Linked DNA regions of Macaca fascicularis. The protein of the gene in region 1 purifies or fractionates together with the protein of each later gene. This does not show direct contact. Links are inferred from orthologs where the notes say so. Each region holds a gene or a part of one and is shown in the gene's direction. Other genes may lie near its edges.

Region 1 (4,093 bases):
CTTCTGGCTTAGCCCGGGTTTTAAATTTAGCCGGGGTTATCTGCAAAGCAGAAGGAAAGTCAGCCCCTGATGTAAGTGTCAAGTAAAATAAATCGGAAGAGTCCTTTCCTGTTTGGCGAGGAATGCTACACTAAGGGGGACCGTTTCAAACTGGCAGTCTTTGCTGGAAACCTCGCCTCCGCGGTTCGCCTTCCCTCGCTCGGATTCAGGCGCTTTTATGTTAAGGGTTGAATTTTTGTGTCAACAGGCACCTCGGGAGGTCGCCCACATAACTGAGCGGAGCAACTGAGATAACCCCCGCTACGTGTGGAGTGACCTAGTCCATTAGCTTGCCCCGGCACGCCCGCTGAGTCCGCAAAATATAGGATGTTCTTGGGTTTTAGATGAACCCAAAGCTAAGATTTCTTCCCTCTCTGGAGTTAGCAAGCAGCCCGCCCTGCCCAACTCCCCTGGAAGCGCGCGTGCTCTCCAGGCTTCGGGACGCCGGCGCGGGTGCCCCAGCACTGGCACTAGGGCTCCAGAGTAAGGGGCGCGCCGACCTGCCCGAGCCTCTGCAGGCGCTGGCGGAAGGTGAGCCCTTCACCCGCTCAACAGGCCCCAGTGCCGGCCTTTCCTTCCAGTCTCAACTCCACCCTGGGGCCCGGGGGCTCCACAGTTAAAAACTCCGTGCCACGGAGATCGCAGGTGAGCTGCTGGCTCAACGGGGTGTGCTAAATGGGATTAAAGATCCTAGACTGTGGCCAGGCGCCGTGGTTCAATCCCTTAATCCCAGCGCTCAGGGAGGCCGAGGCGGGAGGATTGCTTAAGCCCAGGAGTTTGAGACCAGCCTGGACAACATAGCGAGACCCCATCTCTACAAAAATAAAAAGTAGTGGGGCGTGATAGCGCGCGCCTGTAGTCTCAGCTACTTGGGTGGTCGACATGGGAGGATCGCTTGAGTCTGGGTGGTCGAGGCTGCAGTGAGCCAAGATCACCGCCAAGATCGCGCCCCTGCACTCCAGCCTGGGCGACAGAGGGAGACCCTGTCTCAAAAACAAAAAATCCTAGACCGTTTACAAACAGCCGTCCGTCTCTTCCTGGCCAAGTCCTAACCCTGGCTAACCTCGCCGTGTACAGCCTGAATTTTGGCAACCGAAAGGCAGCGCCGGCGCCACTCGCACAAGAGATGGGCCGCTCCGCCCGCTGCCAGGGCCACGGCCGCGCTCACTCCCAGAGCGCGCTGCGAGCCGCGGCGCCTTTGTGACGCCATCAACTCGCGCGCCGTCGCCGACTTCTGTGCAGTCGAGGCCCTGGCGGACGGCGGCTGGCTGCTCCGCGGCGCTCGGCTGGCGGCATCTGCACCGCGGGTTGCGCGGCCGGGGATGCTCCAGCGGGCGCGATGGCCCCCGCCATGCAGCCGGCCGAGATCCAGTTTGCCCAGCGGCTGGCGTCCAGCGAGAAGGGCATTCGGGACCGGGCGGTGAAGAAGCTGCGCCAGTACATCAGCGTGAAGACGCAGAGGGAGACAGGTGGGCGCACGGCGGCGGTCAGCCGCGCCACATGGCGGGCCGGGGGCCGGGGCTGGGGCCAGGGCCCTGGCACGGAACGCGGCTTCCACGTGTTGTCGTGACACCCAGCGTGTGCTTAGGTTTCCGCGCTGCCAGAACCGCTTCTTGCTGTGTCTAGTGCCTTTTTACACTTGAGGAAACGGGTTGAGGGTGTTCCGTTACTTGTGAAAGTCACAGTAAGCGGGAAAGCTGAGAAAAGACCCAATGGGTCCGATTCCCCAGCCGGCATCTCGAATCACTGGGCTGCCCTCATTTGCCCTGGTGTCCGGTCGGTGATTGCCGCCTTTCTTTGACCAGCACCTTTACGTGCCGGGGCTGGAGGAGAGAAGACAGAAGCACTACTCTCGAGGATTTGTTAGTAATAAAGCAAGGAGGCAAACAGGCAAATAAAGTAGACCTTGTGTAAGTGTAGTAAAGGAAATGAAAACCAGGTAGTAGGCCGGGCGCGGTGTCTCACGCATGTAATCCCAGCACTTTGGGAAGCCGAGGCGGGCGGATGACCGGAGGTCGGGAGTTCGAGACCAGCCTGGCCAATCCAACATGGTGAAACCCCGGCTCTACTAAAAATACAAAATTAGCCGGGCATGGTGGCGCATGCCTGTAATCTCAGTACTCGAGAGGCTGAGGCAGGAGAATCGCTTGAACCTGGGAGGCGGACGTTGCGGTGAGCCGAGATCGCACGATTGCACTCCAACCTGGGCAACAAGAGCGAAACTCCGTCTCAAAAAAAGAAAGAAAGAGAGAAAGAAAGAAAACCAGGTAATAGCAAGAAGTGAAGGAGGTTGCTCTTCTTGATAGACTGTTCTGGGAAGGCCTCTCGGGTGATGTTCAGCTGAAATCTGAAGAGAGATGAGCGGAAAGCGCCTATGCAGAGGCAGGAAAGAGCTTCACGTGCCCTAGGAGTGGTTTGAAAGACCAATTAAGTTGTGGGTGGGCGGGGAGAGTGTGATGAGATGAAGTTGGAGATTGTAGGCAGTGGCCAGATCACACAGGGCTTTGTAGTGTAGATTTTAACGGCACTGCTGTTGAATGATTTCATTTACCTGATCCAAGAATATTTTCTGTAAACTCTTGAGTGAGCCCATACGATATGAACTACGATGTGTGACAGAGGTTTTAAGATAAAGTTTGATTTAGTTACTGATGGTACTAATACATTTAGAATCTGCTTAAAAGAACAGATATTATCTCCCCCATTACTGGCATTCTCAGTTTGTTTTAAGAAAAATCACCAGACTACCCAAAAAAAGAAAATAAACTTTCCTGGGAAGTCTGGTAGAAAAAGGAATGAAGACCAAAATTCCTGACTTTGATTCTGTTAGGGATGTCCCTAAGAGATTTTGTTTACTCTTACAGTTCCAGGTAGTCCATATATGCTGGTGGTTTCTAAACCTAAATTGTTGACCCAGCCCTTTCCTACTTGCAACTGGGATGTGCCTTGCTAGCCTGGCTTCTCTACCTGGCACCTCACACTCAGGATGCCAAAAAACATCATATTTTCTTTCCCCGAAAGCCTGTTGTCTGCTGCTGCTCCTCTACCACCTGTTTTCTCTTCTTTTGGTTGCTAGTTCCCACCAGCCATTCGGATTCCAGCTGGACGCAGGGGATTGTCCTGGACTCCTCTGTCTTCCTCATCCTCTTCCCCTGGCCCACATCCAGTGTCCCTCAGTCCTCCCTCCTTCGCCTCCTGGTGAAATAAATTCTCTGACTGTGGGCCCTTTGCATCTCACCCAAACTTCTGCACCTGCATATTCCCTAACTGGTCTCCTTAACTTCATTTGTGTCCCCCCGAATCTGTCCTCCACAGACCAGCCCAGGGTCATCTTCCTAAAACAAATCTGATCCCACATCACCAATATTTTTTGAAATTCAGTGTCTGCAAGTCATGATCTGTCCTCAGGTGCTCTTCCTCCCTAAGCCCCATGTGACTGCTTCATGTTCTGTCAATAGAACCAGTCATGGATCTTGGTGTATAGCACACAATTTCTCACCTCTCTGCCTTTGCTTCTCCTGTTCACTCTGCAAAGAATCCCACACCTTCTTCACTCCCAGCATTCAGTTCAGTATCACTTCCTTCAAAAAGCCTCCCCTAGCATCTCGCCCTACTCCTCCAGGGTCTAAAACATCCATTGTGTCTCTGTTGCAGCACTTAGCTACATTGCTGCTTAATTATCAATGTGCCATTCTACTCCCAAAACAGTGTAAGCTTCCATCTGTTTTCTTAGCCAGAAGTGGGAGTACATGCAGCCATGAAAGGTCTTGGCCTATACAAAAGTAGAAGACAAGAAGCAATACTTATGGTGCTAAAACAGCCTAGACAGAGCCTTTTGCTCAAACCCTTTGGTGAGCCAGCCCAGGATTTGCAGATGCTGAGGTTACGCGGGGGGCCTAAGACCAGTTTACACCAGTGCTCCAGAGTCCTGTCTGGTTAGTGCCTGTCACACCCAGAGTTTCTTGTCTTGTACGTCTTGTTCACCACCACATGGCATGGAGTACACTGGGCCTTCAAAAAATAACTCTGCAGCGTGAACGTCATGGACAGTGAT
Region 2 (4,086 bases), on another chromosome or scaffold:
GTTTATCTAACTTTAAGCATGGCCTCTACCTCCCCCAGTCGTGACAACAACAACGTTTCCCTCCAGACTTCCAAATAGCTCCAGGAGGACAAAACCCCCCTTTTTCAACCGGGAGCTGAAGGATATTCAGGTTGCACCACTCAGAGCAGGTATACAAAAATATCTAAAGAGCTGATGTTATCTCAGTGATATCCCTTCCCTTTTTTTTTTTTTTTTTTCCGCTTCGGTGACACCCTACTCTCCTGGTCTTCTCCCTACCTCGCTAGTCACTCCTTCCCGTCAGTCTCCTTTCCTGTACTTAAATTTCAGAGTACCCCAGGCGTTGGCCTGGGTCTTCTGCTCCCCACCTAAACTTAAACCACAGGTTTTCATCTGGTTCTCCAGCTTTAAATAGCATCTCCCTTGATAAACTCACAAAATAAGGCACTTTCAAGTCAATGGAAGAAATGATAGTATTGGGACAAAGGACTTTCTATATACGGGAGAAAAAAAATTGTTCATCGCTGTAGGAGGGCTGCGGGGTCTCCTCCGCGCTCCCTTTTGAGCACCTACAGTGAGCGTAGGATTCCCACGGACACCCCAATCCACAAGTGAGTCAAGTTGACAGGGCTCCAAGAAAGACCCATGGAGGGAGAGGGGAACGTCCGGGGAGGCCAAGACTGAAGAAGGCTGCGAGTGAGACTTGGAGAAGCTGATGGCGGCTCTGCAAGTTCGCAACGCGACCCCCGCCAGGTCAGCAAGACCTCAGCGCGTGATCCTCGGATTCTGCGAAACCGGACCAGCGACTGGGTCCGAGAGCGCGGTCCCCACCAAAACGAGCACCAACCAATCGCTGGGGGAAACAGGCAGCCTCGTTTTAAGCCGTCAATCAGAGACCGCGGCGACCCATTATAACCACCTCGAGAACCAATGAAAAACGGGGATTCTCTCAGCCCGCCTCCCGAGCTTCAACCCCAAAGAGATCGATCGCGCAGTTTTATAAAAGGTACAAATTAGAAAACAATTCTGCGGCTGCATTAGAGACACTGTGTTTTCAAAGACGGTGGGGAGGGCTGGAGAAAAATCCTAGAAGCGAGCAAGACCGCACTACACCGAAACGTCGCGGGCAGCTGACTCGCCAGTCACCATTTAGCCCAGGGCCGACTGGGGACGGACGTGCCGCTGCGCGCTGACGTCACGCGCCAGGCCCCGCCCCACTGGCCGCCCATATAGCGTAAGCCTGGCGCGCGCGCGCATCATTGTGTGGCTGGACTCGGCCGCCGCTGTGGTGTGAGGCGCGTGTTCGGGCTCTTGCCGTCCCCGCACCTGCACCGCGGCTACTGGCTTGCGGTCCGCCGTTTGACAACCAGCCCTTGGGCCCCCGCCCGCCACGGACATGCCGCGCGTCTACATAGGACGCCTGAGCTACAACGTCCGGGAGAAGGACATCCAGCGCTTTTTCAGTGGCTATGGCCGCCTCCTCGAAGTAGACCTCAAAAATGGGTGAGTCGAGCCTGGGCGCCTGCCCCCAGCGTCCCAGGCCTGGTGGCGGCGGGAACTCTCCAAGGAAAAAGGCGGCCAAGGCCGCGGCGCCGCGTGGCAGGGCCTCCAAGATGGCGACGGCGCGGCGTCGCGGGGGCGCGCTGAGGGGTGCGGGCACGCGCACGGGCGCGCCCTGGCTAACGACGCCCCCGCCGTTGTCCGGCCCTGGCACCGCCCCCAGGTACGGCTTCGTGGAGTTCGAGGACTCCCGCGACGCCGACGACGCCGTTTACGAGCTGAACGGCAAGGAGCTCTGCGGCGAGCGCGTGATCGTAGAGCACGCCAGGGGCCCGCGTCGCGATCGCGACGGCTACAGCTACGGAAGCCGCAGTGAGTCCCACCCCCGCGCGCTCCGCGCCCTTGGGGACCCTGGGGGCGGGCGGGGGTGGGTGGGTTGGGGCCTCCCAGCCCGGGCAGGCGCGAGGGCTGGGGGTCGTTTGACTCGGGTGTCCCCGAGCCCCGCTGCCTTCATGTCTGCCCGGGGCAGCCATGGGACGCCGGAGCGCGGGGATTGGGTTTGGGTGTTTGGTTTTATTTGCGAAGTTGGGCGGGGGGTGGCTTCTTCTGGCCCCTTGTCAGCACTGTCACAGGTTCTAACCACAGAGGAAGTAAGGAGTGGCTGTATTTGTTGTATTCTCCTTACTTACCTATCAGTGCATTAGTTAGAGGTTCGGGGGCAGGCTGGGGTGGAGGTGGGGTAGGGGGGCGGGGGACAGGGAAGGGAGGAGCTTAAAGTATAGGTCTTAAAGTTATGGAACTTGATGGGGGCCGAAGAATGTACTATTTTTAAGTAATGTGGTATTGTACCACAAAGTAGATCTAAATAAGCTTTATGCTGTATTTGAACTAACTGGGGCATGTTACTGGGAGGAGGTTGGGGGGATTTTTGGTTATGTTAAATGTTTGATGTTTAAATTGTTGCATGTTGAATTCAAACTTTTTAACAAGTCCTTGATGTTTCAATTTGAAAGTGACCAATGGGGCTGAGGCTGTGTCCACTGAGGCTAAGATGACTGCCTTTCCTGATTGGCCTTGGCTTTTCCATACATTGTGTGACCCTTGCCCTATGACCCTTTGGCTGACCTTACCGGAAGCCATGACGACAGCAGCCTTTTGCCATTAGACGCAGGGTGATGGTGAGGATTCCAAGGGTTAGACAAAACTGGTTAATCTGAACTAGGTGACTGTTACCTTGCGTGTTTTGTGGCCAAACCACCACCAAAAACCTCACACTGTGATGTAAGTACTTAGTGTAAAACTAGTAAACATTTTTGTAAAATGTAGAAATGCATGTAATCAGTTAAGTTTTATATTTTACAATGTTCTGTAAAATAAAACTTAGCGAGGTAAATCGAATAAAGGAGCAGTCACTCTCTAACAGATTGTAGGAGAGGTTTAGTTGGATTTAGTCTATTTGACTTGCCCTTAATTTAATTTTATGGCAAATCACAAATGTGTCGAAGGTTTAGCAATATAATAGCAAAGTCCTACTCCAGTAAATAAAAGTTGATATGTTTGTACTAACTTTCAAAGACATTATGCGTTTTTATCATTACAAGGCATCTAATTGTTCCCTTCATGTGATAAAGGTGGTGGAGGTGGATACAGCAGTCGGAGAACATCTGGCAGAGACAAATACGGACCACCTGTTCGTACAGAATACAGGCTTATTGTAGAAAATCTTTCTAGTCGGTGCAGTTGGCAAGATTTAAAGGTATGTGCTATAATTCAAGATACAAAGGATACGACTAATGCTTTAAAGTAAACTCTTATTTACATTCTTATTTCTGGGAATTTATTATAGTATATAGATCTTTTAAGATTTCCGAGTCTGACCAATCTTATCATTTCAGGATTTTATGCGACAAGCAGGTGAAGTAACCTATGCGGATGCCCACAAGGAACGAACAAATGAGGGTGTAATTGAGTTTCGCTCCTACTCTGACATGAAGCGTGCTTTGGACAAACTGGATGGCACAGAAATAAATGGCAGAAATATTAGGCTTATTGAAGATAAGCCACGCACAAGCCATAGGCGATCTTACTCTGGAAGCAGATCCAGGTAACTTGTTGAAGGACACTGTGGGGAGGAAACAGAATATTTGACAATAAAAAAGGGAAGTAATGGAGTAATTTCAATTGTTGCCTACTTGAATTAAAGCCAGCTTTTAGTTTGTTTTGGCTGTGCATCATTGGGTTTTTTTCTGGATGTTTTGAAGGTGTATTTAATTTCGTAGTAAAGAAAAACATTATTCTTTGGCTTATCTATTTTTGCCAGATGGCACAGGTGTATTTAAGATGGATTGAGATTAAGACTTCATTGTTTTTCTCCTAATAGGTCTCGATCTAGAAGACGGTCACGAAGTAGGAGTCGCAGGAGCAGCCGCAGTAGATCTCGAAGTATCTCAAAAAGTCGCTCCCGGTAAATAATGTTGTGTTGAGTCATTGTGAATATTACTGTACTTGTTTATGGAGTACGTGTATGTTCTTACAAAGTATTGAGAGAATCGGTCTTTCCTTGTCCAGTTCCAGGTCGCGGAGCAAAGGTCGATCACGTTCTCGATC
Region 3 (4,328 bases), on another chromosome or scaffold:
GGTGTAGATCTGTTATCGCAAATTTATGACTGCAGGATTTGATTTTGTTGTTGTTTCCCCCTCCTTTTTTTTTTTTTTTTTTTTTTTAGGAGGAGTCTTACTCTGTAGCCCAGGCTGCAGCGCAATGGCGCGATCTCGGCTCACTGCAACCTCCACCTCCAGGGTTCTAGCGATTCTCCTGCCTCAGCCTCCCGAGTAGGCTGGATTACAGGCGCCCGCCACCAAGCCCGGCTAATTTTTTTTTTTTCAGTAGAGACGGGATTTCACCATGTTGGCCAGGCTGGTCTCGAACTCCTGACCTCAAGTGATCTGCCGCCTCTACCTCCCAAAGTGCTGGCGTGAGCCACCGCGCCCAGCCTGATTTTAATTTGAATTCATTAGCGACGTTTAAAAATCCCAGGATTTCACATAAAAATCCAGATTGCAGACGTCGAAAAAAAATGTAAAATGTTATCTCCCAATGTCGCAGGCAAATAAGATCACAGTCCTGAATAGCAACCGCGGTCTCTAGTGGATACGGCTCTCATCCATTTCGGTCCATTTTATTACCTGGGAGGACCGGTATTTTCAATTTCAGTAACTTTTAGAGGAAACTTTTGAAAAAAGGACTGCACACACGCACCTTTTCTTCCTTCTCGTTCTTTAAAAGGAAACAACAGAAACAATTCATTCTGCAGGCAATCTGCGCTAGTCCCACGGATAGGCGATTAACAAGAGATAAAGAGGTGTGGGTACCAGAAGCAGTACTGTTACCCCTTCTGGTTGGCGGGTACCACGTTGAAAGGTCGGGGTACGGGCCCACTGCGACTAGCACAAAGAGTGCTGAACTGAGCTATGCAAAGTTCTGACGAGAAGGTGGAATGGTTCTTAATGAAAAGGATTAAGGAATCTAAACCGGTTTCGCTAAATTAGACACATCTGTCTAAGCAGCCACAGCTTGTTCGCAGCAGGGGCGGGAAGACAAACCAACGCCCCAGCTCTCTATTCAGTCACCGGCAACTCAGCTCTGGACCAGACGCACTCTACGAAGATACCCGGGTTTCCGGAGCAACGGCCCGAGCCCTCCCCCTTTAGCCCCGCCTCCGAGTCTCTTTCCCGCCAAAGGCCGTTATCGCCGCAGAGCATGGTGGGACAAGGCTTTAGGCTAGGTTTCACCAAGTCCTTTGAAGGCGCCGAGTTGCTTTCAAAGCTCCTCATTCCTGGGGAAATTGACTATCCTTCAAGACTCGACCTGGATGACTAGCTCCTTTAACGAGAGTTCTTTATTTAACTTTTACCAAACGGCTGCTCACTCTATTCGCAAACCACCCCAAGCGGGGAACGCGGGGGACTTTTTTTCCCCCTTCGTGCGGAGGGTGACGTCGCGCGTGCGTGCGCGTGCGTTGCGCGTATCCCTCGCAGCACCCGTTGCGCTCCCGCGCGTGCGTGTTGGGATCGAATCGCTGTTTCCTTCCGCTTCTCTTCCTCTGTCTCCCCCCCATATCCGTGCGCCGAGCTGATAAAGGCGCCATTTTGGAGGGGCCGCGGGAGACGTGGTGCCGCTGCGGGCTCGCTCTGCGGTGCGCTAGGCTTGGTGGGAAGGCCTGTTCTCGAGTCCGCGCTTTTCGTCACCGCCATGTCGGGAGGTGGTGTGATTCGTGGCCCCGCAGGGAACAACGATTGCCGCATCTACGTGGGTAACTTACCTCCAGACATCCGAACCAAGGACATTGAGGACGTGTTCTACAAATACGGCGCTATCCGCGACATCGACCTCAAGAATCGCCGCGGGGGACCGCCCTTCGCCTTCGTTGAGTTCGAGGACCCGCGGTGAGGCGGCATGGGGCTTGCAGCCTTGAGGAAATAGGTCCGAGTAGTCGGGGAAGGCTCCAAGGCCTTAACATAGAGAACGGGGAAGCGGGGGCTCTTAGAGAGGTTGGGGCGAGACTGTATCGCCCATGCAGGAGTCGAGTAAGGAGCTGAGTTGGTGTGGCTTCTCTGGCGCCTCGCCTTGGACGTCCCCGGAGCCCATTCGCAGGCTGGAGCGGGAAACTGAGGCGCTGAGGGCTGGTGTAGTGGTTGGGAGCCTGGCGTGTTTCTGGGTGGGGGAGGGGCCATTCCTATTATGCGGCGCATGTGGGCTCTTCCACGTTGGGTGCGCATGTGCGGGGGGTTCCCGACTGAGCGAGCTTCTCCTCCTGGTCTTTCTCATGCCTTTTACTTTCTGCGATCCCGCAGAGACGCGGAAGACGCGGTGTATGGTCGCGACGGCTATGATTACGATGGGTACCGTCTGCGGGTGGAGTTTCCTCGAAGCGGCCGTGGAACAGGCCGAGGCGGCGGCGGGGGTGGAGGTGGCGGAGCTCCCCGAGGTCGCTATGGCCCCCCATCCAGGCGGTCTGAAAACAGAGTGGTTGTCTCTGGTGAGTGTACTTTGTTGTGTGGATTGATGTGAAGGGACGGAAGCTACCTAAAATTTTTGTCTTGCATGATCGGTTTAACAATTGCAAATTTTTCATGCTAGGTGTTAAATTGCTTTAGTTTTTGGGTGAATTTAATAAACGAGGATTGCTGCTGTGGTGATTTACCAAATTAGGTTGCGGTACTAGATACGAAGATCCGTTACAAATAATTTTGGACTCTGGATCCCAGAATCTTACCAGCTCTTTACCTGGTATCACTTAAGTACACCTATTAAGTATTTTAAAGTACTCTTTGTTCTAATGTATCTTACCAGCTTAACGTGAAATTTAAGATAATTGATACTAAGAAAAAAAATCACTTTTTCAGGACTGCCTCCAAGTGGAAGTTGGCAGGATTTAAAGGATCACATGCGTGAAGCAGGTGATGTATGTTATGCTGATGTTTACCGAGATGGCACTGGTGTCGTGGAGTTTGTACGGAAAGAAGATATGACCTATGCAGTTCGAAAACTGGATAACACTAAGTTTAGATCTCATGAGGTAGGTTATACGCTTATTCTTTTCTTTGACCAGAATTGGATACAGTGGTCTTAACAGTGGAATTTGAAGGTAAGAATTCAGGCAAGGGTGTCCAAGTAAATTGCCAGATTTCTGGTTGTAGTTGCATTGTATGCATTCAGCATGCCTGAAGATAGATGAAAGCTTAGATCTTTCAATGGAAAGTTCTGTCTATCCAATAGGGAGAAACTGCCTACATCCGGGTTAAAGTTGATGGGCCCAGAAGTCCAAGTTATGGAAGATCTCGATCTCGAAGCCGTAGTCGTAGCAGAAGCCGTAGCAGAAGCAACAGCAGGAGTCGCAGTTACTCCCCAAGGAGAAGCAGAGGATCACCACGCTATTCTCCCCGTCATAGCAGATCTCGCTCTCGTACATAAGATGATTGGTGACACTTTTTGTAGAACCCATGTTGTATACAGTTTTCCTTTATTCAGTACAATCTTTTCATTTTTTAATTCAAACTGTTTTGTTCAGAATGGGCTAAAGTGTTGAATTGCATTCTTGTAATATCCCCTTGCTCCTAACATCTACATTCCCCTCGTGTCTTCGATAAATTGTATTTTAAGTGATGTCATAGACAGGATTGTTTAAATTTAGTTAACTCCATACTCTTCAGACTGTGATATTGTGTAAATGTCTATTCTGCCCTGGTTTGTGTGAACTGGGATGTTGGGGGTGTTTGTGGTTATCTTACCTGGGGAAGTTCTTATGTTTATCTTGCTTTTCATGTGTCTTTCTGTAGACATATCTGAAGAGATGGATTAAGAATGCTTTGGATTAAGGATTGTGGAGCACATTTCAATCATTTTAGGATTGTCAAAAGGAGGATTGAGGAGGATCAGATCAATAATGGAGGCAATGGTATGACTCCAAGTGCTATTGTCACAGATGAAATTGGCAGTATTGACCTTATACTAAAAGGCAGGGGTTAAAAATGATTATATACGTTTTCCTTAAAACACTTGCAAACATTTTATTCAGTTATCTTTAGCTACAATTGCTTTGCTCTTTAAACCTTGGCAATTGTGGCAAAATTATATTGCCCATTTTGTAGCAACTTATTTTGCTCCCTTCCCCCCATTTTTGTTTTAATAGGGACTAATGTGGGAAGAACTGGCTAATTTGTCACAGTGCTTAGTTACAACTGTTAATGTGTGACCTGCTGTTGGTGTACATGTGGGTACAGGGTGTCTTTAAATCCAACAAGATAGAGTATAATATCAATACTGCTAAATCTGCATGTCCTCTGTGTGACTGATAGAGCGTTGCTATTTCATTTTTTTAAGACAAAATGAAAGCAAAATATAGAGTTCCAATGTATTGGTGTAGATAATCTAGTTGGGAATACTTTTAAGTCTCACCTTCCCC
Region 4 (4,242 bases), on another chromosome or scaffold:
TCTAGGGTACCAGTGTGCTCAGATGAAGCTCTTGTGCTCGTGTATGTTATGACCTTCTGTGCTTTTGTTTCTGACTTGAATTTATCAATGGTATTGAATAAAAAGCAAGTTCAATAATGTCTTTTTCTTTTTTTTTTTTTTTGAGGCAGAGTCTCACTCTGTCACCAGGCTGGAGTGCAGTGGCGTGACCTCGGCTCACTGCAACCTCCACCTCCCCAGTTCAAGCGATTCTCCTGCCTTGGCCTCCTGAGTAGCTGCGATTGCAAGCTCCTGCCACCATACCCTGCTCATTTTTGTATTTTTAGTAGAGACGGGGTTTCACCACATTGGCCAGGCTGGTCTCAAACTCTTGACTTCAGGTGATCCGCCTGCCTCCCAAAGTGCTGGGATTACAGGCGTGAGCCAGCACGCCTGACTAATGTCTTATTAGAAGCAGTACTTTCCTTCCTGTGAATTCTGGGTATTGAACCCATCCCCACCCCCTCCACCTCCCTGCTCAGTGACAAGGAACATATTTTTCCTGGTGAGGGGAAGGGTGAAGGGTATCTTACTCACTTTCTAAGGGCCAAATAATGTGTAATACCACTCACCCTATCCTACAGGAGCTGCCCCCACCAGGCAGGGGGATAGGTGGGAATGAACATAAAGGTGGGAGTGACTCAGTCTGGAGTTAGGGAAGGGTTTTGGGCAGATGAACCCTAGGAGAGATCTGAAGGGCTCTTCGGGTTACAGTGGGCTAAGAGGATGAGACCCACTGTACAGAGGAAAGAGCAGAGAAGACACCTTAATGGGTGTGCTGTGCTGTGTGCCTGTTTTACATCTTTGTATTCCTGTAGCACCTGGCTAGACGCCTTATTCATACTAGTCACACTTAAAACGTAGATGTTATCAAATTATCAAGTAAAAGTTCACTTTAGGACTTTGCCAGCTCTTCCCTCTGCAGGCGCTGAGAGGCCAGGAACAGAACTTTCCGGAAGCTTCCCTTACCACGAGTCCACGTTAGAGCAAGGTGCTGAGGGAGGGAGGTCTGGCCGAGGAACAAGGCTTGCTTTTGAGAACATAAGCTGATGCGGAGGGCGCGAGGGGAAAGGGGTTTGAGGGACAAGCATGTCGGAATCCACGCTGTCAGTGAACATCACTGGGCTGTACCAGTATGTGTGCCTACCGAAGCTCGAGCCCCGAACGCAGCTGCTTCCCTAGGGGCCCAGCAACAGCGGGCGCGAATCGGCACATTACCGGCGGCCGCGGGGCGCTCAGGGCTGCGACAACTCCGTGGGTTCCCGCGCCGGCCTAGCGGCCCAGCGACTCCACCAGCGGCCGGAGAAGTCCGCGCTTCTCGGGGTTGGCCCACCCAACCTCTGTGTGGGTAGGACCGAGTAACGACGCATTCTCGCGAGATCGGGCCACTATTAGAGCGCATGCGCAAACTGTACTAGTCTCTTTTCCGGTTAGCGCGGCGTGAGAAGCCATGAGGTAAGTGGTCCTGAAAGCCCTATCTGCGTTCATCCGCGCCTCCAGGTGCCCCGCCAAGGATGCGGCTCCTGCAGACCGAACTGCGGGCCCTTGCGCCACCTTCGCCGCGGGGCATTTCTCAAGGCGGGTCGGCCTGCGGGTCGCCCTTCCTACCAGGTCCGATCACCGAGAGGCTCCCTCTTCCACCGGGGTTTGGGTCTGGGTCTGGGCTCCCGTCGCTCTACTTGGTGTCCGGAATCTACTGGGGAGTCCGCCGTGGGCCGCCCGCCCGTCTCGAAGCTTGGAGCCTCGGAGGCTTCTGAGCAGTCTGAGCGTGTGGACTCCGCGGCCCTGAGCGCGCTGTCGCTTCTCTCACGCAGCAGCAAAGTCTCTCGCGACACCCTGTACGAGGCGGTGCGGGAAGTCCTGCACGGGAACCAGCGCAAGCGCCGCAAGTGAGTGCCGATCCTGGGGCAGGGCGCGGGTGGTGAGGGCCGGCGTGTGCTTAACGCTTAATCCCCCTCCTCTCTCGAAGGTTCCTGGAGACGGTGGAGTTGCAGATCAGCTTGAAGAACTATGACCCCCAGAAGGACAAGCGCTTCTCGGGCACCGTCAGGTTGGCACCGTTCTGACCCCACCCAGCCCTCAGTGCCCCCGTGCCTGCCCCTCCCCTGCAGGCTCCCGCTGAGCCGGAGGCGGGCACGTCGGTACTGATGTGTTAGGGTAGTTCAGACCCCCTGCTCCGGGCAGGCGCGGCTGGACGGACCCCCACCCTGGGTCTTAAAACATGAGGGGAGGCGTGGGGAGGCCTTGGCCGAGCCCGCCGGCCAGCCTGACAAGCCAGGCTGGCTGCTGGTGAATGTGAACGCTCCGGGTAAGGCTCGGTGGCTGCTGCGGTCCCACACCCTTCACCGGCCCTCGGGACCCAGGGCTAGGCATAACCTGTTGGTGCTGTCCCCCAAAACGCAGGCTTAAGTCCACTCCCCGCCCCAAGTTCTCTGTGTGTGTCCTGGGGGACCAGCAGCACTGTGACGAGGCCAAGGCCGTGGATATCCCCCACATGGACATCGAGGCGCTGAAAAAACTCAACAAGAATAAAAAACTGGTCAAGAAACTAGGTGAGTCCGGCCGCTGTGGTTTTGCATGTGAGATGTGGGGTGGAGGCGCTAGAAAGGCTTTCCTGCCATTTCGATTTTTAGTGATGAGGGGGCTAGACTAGCAAATGCGGCGGTGGTTGCCTAGCTGGCCTGAGTGCTGTTTTAGCTTTGGGGTGGTTTGATGTTTGTATTTGCTATGAGGATTCCAGTTGATGAGGAAGGCCAAGTATTGTAAGTTGACCCAGCCAGGTGCTGGTGAGGTATGATTTGGAAATCTTACTCTGCGTTGTTTAGGCAGTGGCATTAGATTGCTTTTACAGGTAGGAAGCAGACATTGCCAGTTGTCACGTGTCCAGGGTCCACCGCTAAGAAATAGGCACAATTCAAGCCAAGGCAGTCTTTTTTTTTAGTTATTTTTTGAGACGGGCTGGAGTGCAGTGGTGCGATCTCGGCTCACTGCAAGCTCCGCCTCCCGGGTTCACACCATTCTCTTCCTCCTCAGCCTCCCGAGTAGCTGGGACTACAGGCGCCCGCCACCACGCCCGGCTAATTTTTTTTTTTTTTTTTTTTTTTGTAGTTTTAGTAGAGACGGGGTTTCACCGTGTTAGCCAGGATGGTCTCAATCTTCTGACCTCGTGATCCACCCAAAGTGCTGGGATTACAGGCGTGAGCCACCGCACCCGGCCTGAGCCCTGGCAGTCTTGACTGGGGCATCCGTTGTACAGCGGTTATGCCATGGATCATGGGTCAGCCTGATTTTCTGAGAGCATGTTTTGGGACCAGTGAAGGTCCAGAGGACTTTCTGGAAACCTTTTAGGCGGGGGAAAAGACTGAGGCGGGGGTAGAGAAGGGTGCTGCTTGGATGTCACGTGGTTGATACAAGTGCGTTTCTGGCCAGCCACATTTGAGGTGTGCCTTGGTGACCAGGTCCTAAGCAATGCCAATGGCTTCCTGTCTTTACCAGCCAAGAAGTATGATGCGTTTTTGGCCTCAGAGTCTCTGATCAAGCAGATTCCACGAATCCTCGGCCCAGGCCTAAATAAGGCAGGAAAGTTCCCTTCCCTGCTCACACACAACGAAAACATGGTGGCCAAAGTGGATGAAGTGAAGTCCACAATCAAGTTCCAAATGAAGAAGGTGAGGGGGTCTGGTGGGTTGCTGTGGGTGAAGGTGTTGGCGGGGTCTAAATCTTACCCAAGTCTCTAAATATGCCAGTGAGAGCGCCCACCAGGATTGAAATTTTTGGAGTAACCCTGGTCCTTCCTTGGCCCGGGTCCAAGTACCTGTTCACTAGGCCAGTGAGGGAGGGACAGGCCATTTGCCATTCCTCCACCAACCTGACTTGATCCTCTCTTCTGTCCTCCCAGGTGTTATGTCTGGCTGTAGCGGTTGGTCACGTGAAGATGACAGACGATGAGCTTGTGTATAACATTCACCTGGCTGTCAACTTCTTGGTGTCATTGCTCAAGAAAAACTGGCAGAATGTCCGGGCCTTATATATCAAGAGCACCATGGGCAAGCCCCAGCGCCTATATTAAGGCACATTTGAATAAATTCTGTTACCAGTCCCCTCTGTCTGCCTGTGATTGAGGGTGAGGGGTGGTTTGTCAGCTGACAGGTGAGGGCCTTGGCACTGCCATGGCTCGTTGTGTAGTTTGTCATCTTGATGATGGATAGTTGGGTACTACAGGGA

Evidence for each region.
Region 2: the proteins of RRP1B (region 1) and SRSF6 purify together in Homo sapiens (affinity purification with mass spectrometry; 3 studies listed by BioGRID and IntAct, with this or other methods). This does not show direct contact. The link is inferred for Macaca fascicularis from reciprocal best matches to the Homo sapiens genes RRP1B and SRSF6.
Region 3: the proteins of RRP1B (region 1) and SRSF1 purify together in Homo sapiens (co-immunoprecipitation; 3 studies listed by BioGRID and IntAct, with this or other methods). This does not show direct contact. The link is inferred for Macaca fascicularis from reciprocal best matches to the Homo sapiens genes RRP1B and SRSF1.
Region 4: the proteins of RRP1B (region 1) and RPL10A purify together in Homo sapiens (affinity purification with mass spectrometry; 3 studies listed by BioGRID and IntAct, with this or other methods). This does not show direct contact. The link is inferred for Macaca fascicularis from reciprocal best matches to the Homo sapiens genes RRP1B and RPL10A.

The regions. Positions count from the first base shown.
Region 1 is NC_088377.1:3,421,525-3,425,617, reverse strand, and holds the start of RRP1B (ribosomal RNA processing protein 1 homolog B), read left to right. Parts: upstream 1-1,277; 5' UTR 1,278-1,378; coding exon 1,379-1,508; intron 1,509-4,093. UniProt on the Homo sapiens protein: Positively regulates DNA damage-induced apoptosis by acting as a transcriptional coactivator of proapoptotic target genes of the transcriptional activator E2F1.
Region 2 is NC_088384.1:99,544,553-99,548,638, forward strand, and holds the start of SRSF6 (serine/arginine-rich splicing factor 6), read left to right. Parts: upstream 1-1,237; 5' UTR 1,238-1,375; coding exon 1,376-1,482; intron 1,483-1,702; coding exon 1,703-1,851; intron 1,852-2,196; exon of another isoform or gene 2,197-2,492; coding exon of another isoform or gene 2,493-2,644; exon of another isoform or gene 2,645-2,881; intron 2,882-3,110; coding exon 3,111-3,235; intron 3,236-3,374; coding exon 3,375-3,583; intron 3,584-3,859; coding exon 3,860-3,943; intron 3,944-4,047; coding exon 4,048-4,086. UniProt on the Homo sapiens protein: Plays a role in constitutive splicing and modulates the selection of alternative splice sites. Plays a role in the alternative splicing of MAPT/Tau exon 10. Binds to alternative exons of TNC pre-mRNA and promotes the expression of alternatively spliced TNC.
Region 3 is NC_088390.1:48,706,040-48,710,367, forward strand, and holds the start of SRSF1 (serine/arginine-rich splicing factor 1), read left to right. Parts: upstream 1-1,506; 5' UTR 1,507-1,615; coding exon 1,616-1,809; intron 1,810-2,217; coding exon 2,218-2,402; intron 2,403-2,769; coding exon 2,770-2,942; intron 2,943-3,142; coding exon 3,143-3,329; intron 3,330-3,702; coding exon 3,703-3,725; coding exon of another isoform or gene 3,726-3,741; 3' UTR 3,742-4,328. UniProt on the Homo sapiens protein: Plays a role in preventing exon skipping, ensuring the accuracy of splicing and regulating alternative splicing.
Region 4 is NC_088378.1:136,223,996-136,228,237, reverse strand, and holds RPL10A (large ribosomal subunit protein uL1), read left to right. Parts: upstream 1-1,437; 5' UTR 1,438-1,468; coding exon 1,469-1,473; intron 1,474-1,832; coding exon 1,833-1,907; intron 1,908-1,987; coding exon 1,988-2,068; exon of another isoform or gene 2,069-2,326; intron 2,327-2,421; coding exon 2,422-2,570; intron 2,571-3,513; coding exon 3,514-3,686; intron 3,687-3,916; coding exon 3,917-4,087; 3' UTR 4,088-4,117; downstream 4,118-4,242.